Linked DNA regions of Anolis sagrei. The protein of the gene in region 1 interacts with the protein of each later gene in a biochemical or structural test. Links are inferred from orthologs where the notes say so. Each region holds a gene or a part of one and is shown on either strand. Other genes may lie near its edges.

What was found. The genes of interacting proteins can lie anywhere in the genome.
Region 2: the proteins of LDLR (region 1) and PCSK9 form a complex in vitro, tested with the Homo sapiens proteins (3 studies listed by IntAct, with this or other methods). The link is inferred for Anolis sagrei from reciprocal best matches to the Homo sapiens genes LDLR and PCSK9.

What each region holds. Positions count from the first base shown.
Region 1 is NC_090022.1:164,561,818-164,569,291, reverse strand, and holds the start of LDLR (low-density lipoprotein receptor), read left to right. Parts: upstream 1-4,397; 5' UTR 4,398-4,573; coding exon 4,574-4,649; intron 4,650-7,474.
Region 2 is NC_090024.1:171,681,077-171,688,364, reverse strand, and holds the start of PCSK9 (proprotein convertase subtilisin/kexin type 9), read left to right. Parts: upstream 1-4,245; 5' UTR 4,246-4,524; coding exon 4,525-4,731; intron 4,732-7,288.

The sequences.
Region 1 (7,474 bases):
TTGCTGGGCAGGGCCAAATGCTTCACACTAGCTTTCAAGACATCACTGTATTCTTCTCCAGGTAGAGATTTTAAAGGGTAAAGGAGAAAAATGAGGGGGCATGCTCATTCTGCATTGAAGAGCCTTCCTGTTTACGGCTGTTGAATGATAACACTATGTAACACTGTGACAAAATTCCAAAAGGCAAAGCTTGATTTTGCAATTTTTATAAGGGCATCAACACTATGTAACTCAATTTTTGTACCTGGTTTATAAATACCTTTTCCTAATTGGTTCTATCATTAAAAAAAAAAAAACATGAGAAAGTGCATTAAACTTTAAAAGTGTTTTTGCAGGATGTTGTTGTTCATTCGTTCAGTTGTCTCTGACTCTTCGTGACCTCATGGACCAGCCCACGCCAGAGCTCCCTGTCGGCCGTCACCACCCCCAGCTCCTTCAAGGTCAGTCCAGTCACTTCAAGGATGCCATCCATCCATCTTGCCCTTGGTCGGCCCCTCTTCCTTTTACCTTCTACTTTCCCCAGCATAATTGTCTTCTCTAGGCTTTCCTTTCTCCTCATGATGTGGCCAAAGTACTTCAACTTTGTCTCTAGTATTCTTCCCTCCAGTGAGCAGCCGGGCTTTATTTCCTGGAGGATGGACTGGTTGGATCTTCTCTCAGTCCAAGGCACTCTCAGAACTTTCCTCCAACACCACAGCTCAAAAGCATCGATCTTCCTTCGCTCAGCCTTCCCTAAGGTCCAGCTCTCACATCCGTAGGTTACTACAGGGAATACCTTGGCTTTGACTATGCGGATCTTTGTTGCTAGTCTGATGTCTCTACTCTTTACTATTTTATCGAGATTGGTCATTGCTCTCCTCCCAAGAAGTAAGCGTCTTCTGATTTCCTGGCCACAGTCTGCATCTGCAGTAATCTTTGCGCCTAGAAATACAAAGTCTGTCACGGCCTCCACATTTTCTCCCTCTATTTTCCAGTTGTCAATCATTCTTGTTGCCATAATTTTGCGGGATATCCTGAAGCATTTTGCTAAAGTTTTTCAATGAACATTTCGAGTCTCGACAAATTCAACCTAGTTTGTGGCAGCCACAAAAATGAAATTTCTGGAGCGTAACAACTTTCAAAGTAAGTATTGCACAGCAAATAACACTTTCACACAAGGAACAGATACTTTTTTTTTCAAATTTTGTTAGTGTAATGAATGGAGAAAGTGAATAATGTAACAAAATTTGAAAAAAATTCTCTTCCTGGTTTGAAAGTGTAACAGTATTTCCTGTTTAATTGTGTAGCACTTTGAAAATAGTTGCTATACTCCAGAAACTTTGTTTTTGTAGCTGCCATTTTTAACTGTTCAATCTGCCAGTTTATTATTATCATTATTATTATTATTTATCCTGCTTTTCTCCCATGGGTGGGATAAATCTATATAAATAAAAATGTAATGTTCGTTTGTGGGATTGACAGAACTCAAAAAACACTGGACGAAATGACACCAAATTTGGAGACAAGATACCTAACAACCCAATGTATGTCCTTCGCTAAAAAATGATTTTGTCATTTGGGAGTTGTAGTTGCTGGGATTTATAGTTCACCTACAATCAAAGAGCATTCTGAACCCCATCAACAATGGAAATGAACCAAACTTGGCACACAGTTCTCCTATGACCAACAGAAAATACTTGAAGGGTTTGGTGGGCAGTGTCCTTTGGTTTTAGAGTTGTAGTTCACCTACATCCAGAGATCACTGTGGACTCAAACAATGATGGAGCTGGACCAAACTCTATACGAAGACTCAATATGCCCAAATGTGAACACTGGTGGAGTTTGGTGAAAACAGAATCTTGACATTTGGGAGTTGTAGTTGCTGGGATTTTTAGTTCACCAACAATCAAAGAGCATTCTGAACCCCACAAACATTAGAATTGGGCCAAACTTTCCACATAGAACCCCCATGACCAACAAAAAATACTGTGTTTTCTGATGGTCTTTGGTGACCCTTCTAACACCCTTTTATGACCTCTGCAGGACTTCAGCCAGGATGACCTCAGCCAGGTTGAGAAATTGTGCCTTAAGACCATCCAGTCCAACTCCCTTCACCAGGGCAAGAAAACATAACCAAAGCCCTCCTCACAAACAGTCATAGATATAGATAGATAGATATGATTCACACACACACAGATATAGTATCATAGATTTGAAAGGGATCCCTAAAGAAGGACAATTCTATGTTGCATGTTTCAGAATAAGCAAACCAGAGAATATTTACATCAACACTGACAAAGAAACAAGAAGAAATAATGTTGACCCACAAGCATCAAGAAGAAATACTGTTATATATCTGTGGAATGACCAGGGTGGGGCAAGGAGCTCTTCCCTGCTGGAGCTAGGTGTGAATGTTTCAACTGACCACCTTGATTAGCATTTGATGGCCTGGCAGTGCCTGGGGCAATCTTTTATTGAGAGGTGATTAGATGTCTCAGATTGTTTTCCCTCTGTCATTTTGCTGTGGTAATTTTAGAGTTTTTGAATACTGGTAGCCAGATTTTGTTCATTTTCATGGTTTCCTCCTTTCTGTTGAAATTGTCCACAGCTGCATGGTACACGGTAGACTCCTGCAGAAGCAACGGACAAGAGGGATCCTCTCACTTCTGCAGGAGTCTACCGTGTACCATGCAGCTGTGGACAAGTCTACTTAGGGACCACCAAACGCAGCATTGCCCAAACATAAATCAAGGAACATGAAAGGCACTGCAGACTAAGTCAACCAGAGAAGTCAGCCTTGACAGAGCGCCTGATGAACCAGCCTGGACACAGCATATTATTTGAGAACACCGAAATGCTGGACCACTCTCACAACTACCATGTCAGACTACACAGAGAAGCCATTGAAATACACAAGCATGTGAACAATTTCAACAGAAAGGAGAAAACCATGAAAATGAACAAAATCTGGCTACCAGTATTAAAAAAAACTCTAAAATTGCAACAGCACAACAACAGAGAGGAAGCAGGCAGGGACATCTAATCACCTCTCAACAAAAGTTTGCTCCAGGCACAGTCAGCCCATTGTATGCTAATCAAGGTGGTCAGTTGATACATTCACACCTAGTTCCAGCAGACAAGAGTCCTTTGTCCCACCCTGGTAATTCCACAGATATATAAACCCTTTTTCCTAGTTCCAACAGACCTCACTATCTCTGAGGATGCTTGCCATAGATGCAGGCGAAAGGTCAGGAGAGAATGCCTCTAGAACATGGCCATATAGCCCAAAAAAACCTACAACTACCCAGTGATTCTGGCCATGAAAGCCTTCGACAATACAGTGATGGGAATGATCACAGGCACAGCCAGCCCATTGTATGCTAATCAAGTGGTCAGTTGAAACATTCACACCTAGCTCCAGCAGACAAGAGTCCTTTGTCCCACCCTGGTCATTTCACAGATATATAAACCCTTTTTCCTAGTTCCAACAGGCCTCACTATCTCTGAGGATGCTTGCCATAGATGCAGGCGAAAGGTCAGGAGAGAATGCCTCTAGAACATGGCCATATAGCCCGAAAAAACCTACAATAACCCAGTGATTCTGGCCATGAAAGCCTTCGACAATACACTTCGACTACACAGTCGACAATACACTTCGACTGTGCCTGTGATGGGAATGATCACAGGCACAGTCAGCCCATTGTATGCTAATCAAGGTGGTCAGTTGAAACATTCACACCTAGCTCCAGCAGACAAGAGTTCTTTGTCCCACCCTGGTCATTTCACAGATATATAAACCCTTTTTCCTAGTTCCAACAGACCTCACTATCTCTGAGGATGCTTGCCATAGATGCAGGCAAAACGTCAGGAGAGAATGCCTCTAGACCATGGCCATACAAAAAACCTACAACAACCCAGACCTTCTTATAGTAACACCTGAGGCACTCCAAGTCGTCAGCTACTGGTCAAAGGACATTTAATCAACTACCAAGCTTGCAAACTTTCTGTTTTGTTTGTTTGTTTAAAAATGCAATGCAACTGTTTGGTTTGCCACTGACACGATAACTTGCTTGACAATGTTGAGCATCCCCCCATTTACAAAAAGTGCAGGAGTCCTTCAGTAGGTAGAATGCAATACCGGGCCATCCCAAGTTGAATTTGGGGGGAGGGGGGTAACTCCAGAGGCGCAACCAAGTTCCCTTGGGTTTCTACGGGATGCCAAAGTAGCCCTCCTGCCCCGCCCGCCCGCGCGCGCATCTGGAGAGAGCCAATCAAAACGAGAGACGGGGCAGGGAGGCACCGACGTCACATCGTGCGTTCGGGGTGACCCCTCCCCGTGCCTGTGTGATGTGGGGAAAGGTTTGAAAATCACCCCATTGGAAGCCCCGCCCCTTTGGCCCGGCCACGAGGAGGAGGCAGGAGGAGCGCGAGGAAAAAGAAGCCTGGCGCCGGCCGCGTGCGCAAAGCAGCCAGTCAGAGAGAGAGCGCGCGAGAGAGGCAGAGAGAGCGGCACGCGCCCACTCCTCACAGCAGACTCACCTGAGGGAGAAAAAGACTCCAAAGAAGGGTTTTTGAAAAGACTGTGAAGCCCACCATGAGCCCACTTGAAGCGACCCACGTCGCCCTGGCGGTCTTCCTCCTCAGCATCCTCGACCACGTTTCTGGCAACGGTAAGGAGTGGCTTCCAATGAAAGGCATTAAATGGTTTTCAATTGGTTCTAATGTCTATGTTGTGTTGACAGTTTGTGCCTATATTTGTATGTTTTTGCATTGTTTTGCATATGTGGAAACCACTCTGAGTCCCCTAGGGGAGATAGGGCGGTATATAATAAAGTTTTATTATTATTATTATTATTAATAATTAGAAAGTAATGGTGAAGCCTCAGGAGTCAAAAGGGTGGAGAGAGAAACTCAAGGGCTAAAGCTTTGAAGGCCTTTGCTCTCTGTGTGCAAACTTGGAGAAGAGTTTGGCCCCACTTTGAAATGCCTTGGTTCAATGTAGTATCATAGAATCAAAGAGTTGGAAGAGACCTCATGGGCCGTCCAGTCCAACCCCCTGCCAAGAAGCAGGAATATTGCATTCAAATCTCCCCTGACAAATGGCCATCCAGCCTCTGCTTAAAAGCTTCCAAAGAAGGAGCCTCCACCACACTCCGGTTTGGGGAAAGCCAGCCTTCCCAGGTAAAAGCAAGCTCTGTATCTTGATATTAGGGATCTATATTACTAGATATTGCCAGCCACATGACCTTGGAGGTGTCTACGGACAACGCTGGCTCTTCGGCTTAGAAATGGAGATGAGCACCACACCCCAGAGTCAGACATGACTGGACTTAATGTCAGGGAACTACCTTTACTATTACTAGGTGTAAGGGATCCGATCCCATCTATTCTTGAAAGCTAAGAAGGTTCACCCTGGCTAGTGCTTGGATGGGAGACCACCAGCAAAAACCAGATTTCAGAGGAAATGAAGAAAATAACCCTGGGACATTGACCAGGCATTCAGGTTTACTACTCCAAGAGAGAGAGAGAGAGAGAGTCAGGATGCATCTTTCCACCTGGAAACCAATGCCCTCGCTGGGAGAAGATGCAGGTCAAGAATAGAGCTCCACAGTCACCTACGGATCCACAAGAATACTGATCCTGGAAGACTATCCTACTCATCCAACGAGGGATTGCCTAAACACACTGTAGACCAGGCCTGGGCCAAGTGGGGCCCTCCAGGTGTTCTGGACTTCAACTCCCACCATTCCTAACAACCTCAGGCCCTTTCCTTTCCCTCCTGAGCCACGTAAGGAAAGGAAGGGACCTGAGGCACACCCAAGGTTCCACAGCACCAACCCACAGCGGTCAAAGTGGTATGGAACTGGCATAGTTCTGAGGCAGCGCTTCTCCTTTTGCACCTCAACCCAGAACACACCCAACCTGAGGAGAAACCCATCCTCCAACTCCTAAAGGAAAGGTCAAGTCCCAATGAATGCTGTGAATATTGGGACCTTCATCTTCCTACTCCTTCCTCTGTGTGAACTTTTCCTGTCATAATGGAGATAAATGGTGCCTTGTAAACTTTGGAGCAAAAAAAAGGATTGTATTGTCGAAGGTTTTCATGGCTGCAATCACTGGGTTGTTGTAGGTTTTTTGGGCTATATGGCCATGTTCTAGAAGCATTCTCTCCTGACGTTTCGCCTTCATCTATGGCAAGCATCCTCAGAGGTTGTCACAACCTCTGGGTTGTTGCAGGTTTTTCAGGATATATGGCCATGTTCTAGAAGCAATCTTTCCTGACGTTTCGCCTTCATCTATGGCAAGCATCCTCAGAGGTTGTGACAACCTCTGAGAATGCTTGCCATAGATGCAGATGAAATGTCAGGAGAGATTGCTTCTAGAACATGGCCATATAGACCGAAAAACCTACAACAACCCAGGAAAAAGGATCGATGCTTGGCCTGGGCTGAGGAAGAAGAAGGATTTGGGGAGGAGGAGCCCCACCCTTCCTTTCCTGCAGGCCAGAGGAGGCTCCACGCCCTTTCCACACATAAGTCTTCCCTCTCCCTTCTCCTTCAGAACCACCACTCAGCCTCTCTTCAAAGTCCTGAAGGTGCACAGCCTTCATACCCTCCTTTTGCCCCTTTGCTCTGCCTAACTCCCTGCAACCCCTCCTTTCTTTAAAAGGGGTGAATAAGAAGGGTAATGGCCTGCAGGCCACAGCATGAAAAGCTTTTTGACAGAAGCACTCCCTGGTTAGACTGAGCTCTCAAAAGGGACTGAGGGTGCATCCACACTGTGGAATGAATGTACTGTAGCTTGAAACCCCATTAACAGCACGGTTCAATGGGAATTGTCACTTTATAAGGTTTGCAGTGTTCTCTTTCAAGTAGTGACCTCAGCAAACTACAAATCCCAGGCTCCCCTAGCATTGTGGTGGCATTTATAGCAGAGTCACATTGCATTAATTCTAAAGTGGTCACTCATACCTGGATGCTCAGATTCATGGGAGCAGCATCTTAGCTTTGCTCAGAGTGAGTTCTCCTTAAAACTGTGCTTTGTCACCTCATTCCACTTGCAAAGAAGAAAGCCCTCCCTCCCAGTAGGAGTTTTGCAACTTTTTAGCAGTAAGTGTAATTTTTAGCAGATGTGTAGCCAGACTCAAGCAGGTGAATAGAGTTAGCACCAATGACCAGCATTGTTTTGGTTTTAATTGGAAATAATAGGGTTGGAAGAAATTCGCCCACCCAGTGCCTTCCTACAAACACACAGTCCAAACACTTCCAACAGCCTGTCTTTGAAAACCTCCAGAGAAGCAGATTCCTCCACACTCGCAGGCAGCAGCGTATTCCACTTTTAGGCAGCTCTTACCATCAGGAATTTTTCTAATGTTTCGGTGGAATGCCTAACATGGGGTGGGGTTTTGTTGCATCTGTTGTGGGTGGGAGAGTGAATGCATCCGCTGCAGGTTGAAGGAAGTTGGGCTGGACGGGCGTGGAAGAGAAGGAGGCAC
Region 2 (7,288 bases), on another chromosome or scaffold:
AATAAACTATCCCAGACAACATGCAACAGATGACATTTCTTCACAATACTGTATTTTTCTGGAAAAACTCTTCAGCTGCCAGTCATCCCTTGCATCTTATCTGTGCCCGCAGTCATGAAGAAACTTTTTCTGACATAGTTAATCCAGTGGAATTTGTTTTTCTATGGGGAAGTGAGGGGAGAAAATGCTGCACTATATGACCCCCATATTTGAAGGGGACAATGTCCCCAAATATATTGTAGAAAAAGGAAACCATGGATAATATGGAATGCCTTTTTCCTGCTTCTTGGCAAGGGGTTGGACTGGATGTCTCATGAGGTCTCTTATCTCAACTTATCTCAACTCTGAAATAATTGTACCAATTTGGGTGGCACAAGTTTTTGTCCCTTTCTCTTTCTTGGAAGACTGAACTAATTGTCCCATAGCCAAAAGAGACAGGCCCTTTGCCCCTCTAAACTGCCTTCAGGTGTTATGGAGCACCTCATTCATCACCAGTATTGAAGGGACAGCAAACAGTCTACCCTCCAACTATCCAGGTTTGGCAGTCCTAGTCTTGTTAACCCTTTGCAGTCCTGCTTTCAAATGTCCCAGTTTCTCTGTTCTCATTTCAGGTTACTCAGGCTGGAAACAGAGTCTGAAGCTCGCAAGTAATTTACACTCAGTTTACTCACTAAGAGGAGAGGAGGCAAGTTTATCAAATCTGCAGATGACACCAAATTGAGAGGGAGAGCTATTAACACACCTCAGAGGACAGGACTAGAATCCAAAATGACCTTAACAGATTGGAGAGGTGGGCCAAAACTAACAAGATGGATTTCGACAGGGAGAAATGTACTAGAGAAGGCGGAGAGGGGACATGGTAGTCCTGTTTAAATATTTGAAGAGTTGTCACATTGAGGAAAGGGGTGGGCTTTGTTGACGCTCAGGGAACTAGGACATGGAGCAATGGATCCAAATAGCAGGCAAAGAAATTCCACCTCAACCTTAGGAAGAACTTCCTGTTGGTAATTGCTGTTGGGCAATGGACTATCCTAGCTTGGAGGATTAGGCTTTTAGGTAGAGGCTGGACGGCCATCTGTTGGAGTGCTTTCGTTGTGTCTTCCTACATGACAGAACGGGTTGGACTGAATGGCCCTTGGGGTCTCTTCCTATTTTGATAATAGGAAAAGGCTCTATCCTGCCCTTCCTATGGAGCTTAGGCAAAGGCTAAACTGCTGCCTGTCCTAGCTCCTCATTAGTAACTATTTGTATCATATTGATACATGTTTTCCCCTTTTTTCATCAGTGAAATAGAGGCCCTGGTGGCACAGTGGGTTAAACCCTTGTGCCGGCGGGACTGAAGAGGTTTGATTCAGGGGTGAGTGCAGGTGACCTCCCCTGTCAGCTCCTCCTCCCCATGCAGGGACATGAGAGAAGCCTCGCACAAGGATGGTAAAAACATCAAAATATCCAGGGATCCCCAGGGCAACATCCTTGCAGATAGCCAGTTCTCTCACACCAGAAGCGACTTGCAGTTTCTCAAGTTGCTTCTGACACAAAAATCAGTGAAATGTCAAAGGGTATGCCAGTAGGTTGCTATGATTTTACTGGGCTGTATGGCCATGTTCCAGAAGCATTCTTTCCTGATGTTTCACCTGTATCTATGGCAGGTCTGTTGGAAACTAGACAAGTGAGGTTTATATATTTGTGGAAGGTCCAGGGTGGGACAAAGAACCCTTGTCTGCGAGAGGCAGATGTGAATGTTTCAATTGGCCACAATGATTAGTAGGGCTGGGCAACCACGGAAAAATTTGTTTCTAAACTCGATTTATTTTTTGGGTTTTTTTGCGTTTCGATATTTAAAAGAATTCCAAAATTTTTCTTTAAAAAAGTTCGATATTTACGAAATTTTGTAAAATTACGAAACAATACGAAATGAATACGAAACTATTCGTTAATGGCGGACACGACCGCGCAATACGCTAAAAAACCTCAATATGGGACAGGGGGAACTTTTGAAGCTTCCCTCTCCCTCTGTTGTTGACTGTTGGTGTGATATTTATAATTTTTTTTCACTGATTAAACAAACAACAGCTATAAAACTTGCCCCAGACATGCGGAAATAATAACGAAACGATTTTGAAACGATTTCAAAACGAATACGAAATGAATACGAAGCAATTACGAAACGAATTGAAAAATTCATTTCATTTTTAAGATGCTCCTGAATGGTTCAATATCGCTTCGTTATAAAAAAAAATAACGAATTTTTAACGAATTACGAAATTACGAAACGAAACCGCCCAGCCCTAATGATTAGCAATGAGTAGCCTTTCAGCTTCAAGGTCTGGCTGCTAACTGCCTGGGAGAATTCTTTGTTGGAAGGTTTTAGCTGACCCTGATTGATCCATGCCTGGAATCCCTTGTGGACAATTTCAACAGAAAGGAGGAAACCATGAAAATGGACAAAATCTGGCTACCAGTATTTTAAAAACTCTAAAATCAGAACAGTAAAGAATGAACAAAACTCAGAAACCAAGGGAATTCCAGACAGGAAACAATCAGGGCCAGCCAACACCTCCCAACAAAGGATTTCTTCATGCAGAAATCAACCAGGCTATTCAATGCTAATCAAGGTGGCCAGTTGCAATATTCAAACTTGCCTCAGGAAGACAAGAGTTCTTTCTTTCACCCTGGACACTCCACAGATATATAAACCTCACTTGCCTAGTTTCCAACCTCTGAGGATGCCTGCCATAGATGTGGGCAAAATGTCAGGAGAGATTGCTTCTGGAACATTGCCATACAGCCCAGAAAACTCACAGCAACCCTGGGATTCTGGCCATGAAAGCCTTCGACAACACAGTATGCCAGTAGCTGCCTGATGAGCATACCAGTATGCAAAAAAGGGGGTTGTCACTTTGCCTCAGGCAACCAAATACCTTGGTTTACCCCAGTGTTTCTCACCCTTCCTAATGCTGGGACCCCTTAATACAGTTCCTCATGTTGTGGTGACCGCCAACCATAAAATTATTTTCGTTGCTTCTTCATAACTCTAATTTTGCTACTGTTCTGATTCATAGTGCAAATATCTGCTAAGCAGGATGTATTTTCATTCACTGGACCAAATTTGACACAAATACCCGATATGCCCAAATTTGAATACTGGTGGGATTGGGCAGGGAGATTGATTTTGTCATTTGGGAGTTGTAGATGTTGGGATTTATAGTTCACCTACAGTCAAAGAGCATTCTGAACTTTACCAACAATAGAATTGAACCAAACTTGGCACAAAGAACTCCCATGCCCAACAGAAAATACTGGAAGGGTTTGGTGGGCGCTGACCTTGAGTTTTGGAGTTGTAGTTCACCTACATCCAGAGTGGTCTCAAACAATGATGGAACTGGACCAAACGTGGCACGGATACTCAATGTGCCCTAATGTGAACACTGGTGGAGTTTGGGGGATATTTGGGAGTTGTAGTTGCTGGGATTTACAGTTCACCTACAATGAAAGAGCATTCTGAACCCCACCAATGATAGAAATGGGCCAAACTTCCCACATAGAACCCATGATCAACTGAAAATACTATGCTTTCTGATGGACTTTGGCGACCCCTCTGATACCAATTCATGACCCCCCCCCCCCCGGGGTCCCTGAGCTGGTCTAGCCCCGCTCTGGATAATTCTCCTCAAATGTTAATTTTTGTCAGCATTGGTTGATTTCTGCTAGGAAAACCATGCTTCCCAGGAAGGGATCCTGCAGAAAAGTCGGCGCAGCCTTCCTCGCGCTCTTTGGGACGCTCCTGTTCCAACAAGCTCCCCAAGAAAGCTTCCCAAAAAGAGCCCTTGAGCCGAGAAGCCAGGGCGCCGGGCTCTCCAGTTTCCTCCTCGTCCTCCTCCTCGTCCCGCCTGGAGGCTCAAGTCCTCCAATCAAGTTCAGGCACGGAGCGAGGGAGGGAGAGACACCTTTGCTTTTGTCTGCAGGGGAATGCCTTACCCCCCTCCTGTTCGAAAACACCCCGAAAAGAAAAAAGAAGGAACCCAACCCCTTGTAACCTGAAACGCCTAAGCCTGGGCATCCACCCCACGCGCCCAAAGACTCCCAATTAATGTTTAACAAGCGCGGATGGTCCGATGGGGGAAGAGTGGCGTGATCGGGCCACATCCACGCCCCAAAAGATTGTGAGGAACACGAGAGGATGTAAAGGAAGAGGGAGGGAGGGAGGGAGGGAGGAAAGAAAGGGGAGAAAGTCAGCCAAAGAGAGAGAGAGAGAGAGAGAGAGAGAGGGAAGGAAGGAAGGGAGGAAGAAGGGAGGAGGGCGGGCGCGTGCGGTGCGCGTTCCCGGGGCGTCATTTTCGTGGGCTAATCCCTCGCCAAGCCGCCGCTTGCGAGGCTGAGCAAGGAGCAGCGCTTCGACGGGTTCTAGGTTGAGGCTTTGGGCGGGTTCTAGGTCCCGTCTGTCCACGAGGGCCTTCATTCAACAAGGTCTGGGACTTGGCAAGAGTGAGGACTCTGCTGATCCCCGCTCTCTCAAACATAAAAATGGGAAGGCGCCTCTCTTTGGCGGCTCCGCTGCTGCTGCTGCTTGGGCTTCTCCTGGTCCTCCGCCCGCCTCCCGCGGATTCCAGTGTCGTGGATGCTCCGGACGAAGAGGACGACCCCACGCCCTCCTTGGCTTTAGAGGAGGAGAACCAGGACGAGGTCGGGAAGGACCGGAGCGCCCCCGCCGCCTTCCATCGGAGCAAGAAGGTGACTCGAAAGGGGGGGGAGGGGGGGCGGCTTTCTGCCCACCGAATGCAGTTGGAGCCCACGCTCCCAGCCCTGGCCCGGTCCTAGAGGGTCCTAGAAGTTGTCCATCAACAGAGCCTTTCGCTTTCTGTGCCAGAGAGCGCTGGCTGTCTCGCCAAGCAACTCCTGTGCTTCCATAGCATTGAGCCAGGGCAGGCCCAGGGGGGTCCAAACTGCCTTAGCTCGACGGGTGACTTTGGGCTGGAGGAGCCCCTGGTGGCGCCGTAGGTTAAACCCTTGTGCCAGCAGGACTGCTGACCGAAAGGTCCGTGGTTCGAATCCCCGCATGGAAGCTCCAGCTCCCCATGTGGGGACATGAGAGAAGCCTCCCATAGGATGGTAAAACATCAAATATTCGGGTGTTTCCTGGGAAACGTCCTTGCAGACAGTCAATTCTCTCACACCAGAAGCGACTTGCAGTTTCTCAAGTCGCTCCCTGAAACGAAAAACAAACCTTGTGCTGGAGCCATGCACATGGGGGTGCCAGCTTCCAGTGCAGGGACATGAGAAAAGCCTCCCACAGGATGGTAATACATCAAACATCTGGGCATCCTCTGGGCTACATCCTTGCAAACGGCCAATTCTCTCACAGCAGAAGCAACTTGCAGTTTCACAAGTTGCTGCTGACACACACACACACACACACACCTTGGGCTGGAGCCATGTGCACGGGAGCTTCAGCTTCCAATGTAGGGACATGAGAGAAGCCTCCCATAGGATGATAAAACATCAAACATCTGGGCATCCCCTGGGCAACATCGTCATTGCAGACAGCCAATTCTCTCACAGCAGAAGTGACTTGGAGTTTCTCAAGTCGCTCCTGACACACACTAAAAAAAATCCAACAATAAACACCTTGGGCTGGAGCCATGCGCATGGGAGATCCAGCTTCCAATGCATGGACGTGAGAGAAGCCTCTTACAAGGATGGTAAAACATCAAACATCTGGGCATCCCCTGGGCAACGTCCTTGCAGACAGCTAATTCTTTCACAGCAGAAGTGATTTGCAGTTTCTCAGGTTGCTCCTGACACACACACACACACACACATACCTTGGGCTGGAGCCATGTGCATGGGAGCTTCAGCTTCCAAGGTAGGGACATGAGAGAAGCCTCCCACAAGGATGGTAAAACATCAAACATCTATGATTCATTCTGTTGTGCTCCAGAACTTTGCTGAAAGCCACACAAAGTGTGGTGATCCTCAAGGTACCAGATCCCATCTGATCTTGAAAAAGTTAAGCTGGGGCAGTCCTGGTTAGTACTCAGAAAGGGGATCGGTAACTGGCTGTATTTCAGAGGAAGGGCCTGGCAGAATCAGCTCTGAGGATTTCTTGCCCAAGAAAACCCTACAAAAATTACGGGGCCACCATGAATCTATAGCAGGCATGGGCAAACTTTGGCCCTCCAAGCTGTTAGGAATGGTGGGAGTTGAAGTCCAAAACACCTAGAGGGCTGAAGTTTGCCCATGTCTGATGTATAGGCAACTTGAAGGCACATGGGCAAAGATGCACAGTTCAGAGTGAGGATGAGCTTTGCCTGTTGACCCAGTGGCACATATGAAGTGGGACATTCTTGGCTCCATTGAGCGTTAAAGAAGCATCTTGGGTCTTCTCTGCATTCACTCCAACCACCCTTCCCATTGTTCTTGGTCCTAGCGGTCTGAAGAGTTTCTAGGGGAGGAGCTCCATCACAGAAGCCATGGGACACGGTTTCCCTGTGGGTTCTCCTGCCTCTCCTGCCACCTGTGTGCAGGGTTGGTTCGGCTGTATATAATCGTTGCTTTTGCTTCAGGTGGCAAAATATCTTGGGAGGGTAAGGGTTTAGAGCAGGCATGGGCAAGCTTGGGCTCTTCAGGTGTTTTGGAGTTCAATTCCCATCACTCCTAACAGCCTCAGGCTCTTAGGAATGGTGGGAATTGGAGTCAAAAACACCCGGAGGCCCAAAGTATGCCCATATCTTGTTTAGAGCATGCTAGTTATCTATGACAATGGTTCTCAACCTGTGGGTTCGCAGATATTTTGGGCTTCACCTCCCAGAAAACCTAACAGCTGGTTAACTGGCTAGGATTTCTGGGAGTTGTAGGCCACAACACCTGGGGACCCACAGGTTGAGAACCACTGATCTATGGGTAGATCAGTCCTTGGGAACTGTCATCATCATGGCAACTTTAAGAGTGTACCTTCAAGTTGCTTTTTGACGTATGGCACCCTCATTAATTTAATAGTGTTTTCTTCAGTAGTAGAGAATACTCGGAGGTAGTTTTTGCCAATTCCTTTCTCTGAAATATAGCCCACAGCACCTGGTATTCCATCCAATGGTAACAGGACTGACCATGCTTAGCTCCCACAATCAAACAGGACTTAATGTCATGACTTTAAACAGACGTGAAGTAGGACCTTAGCCTATTATTCCCCCAGTTGTATTAAAGTGGATTACAAAATCACACCATTCTGTTTTGGGTAAGGCAGCGTTTCTCATCCTGGGGGGTCGCAAAGGGTGTGTCAGAGGGGTCGCCA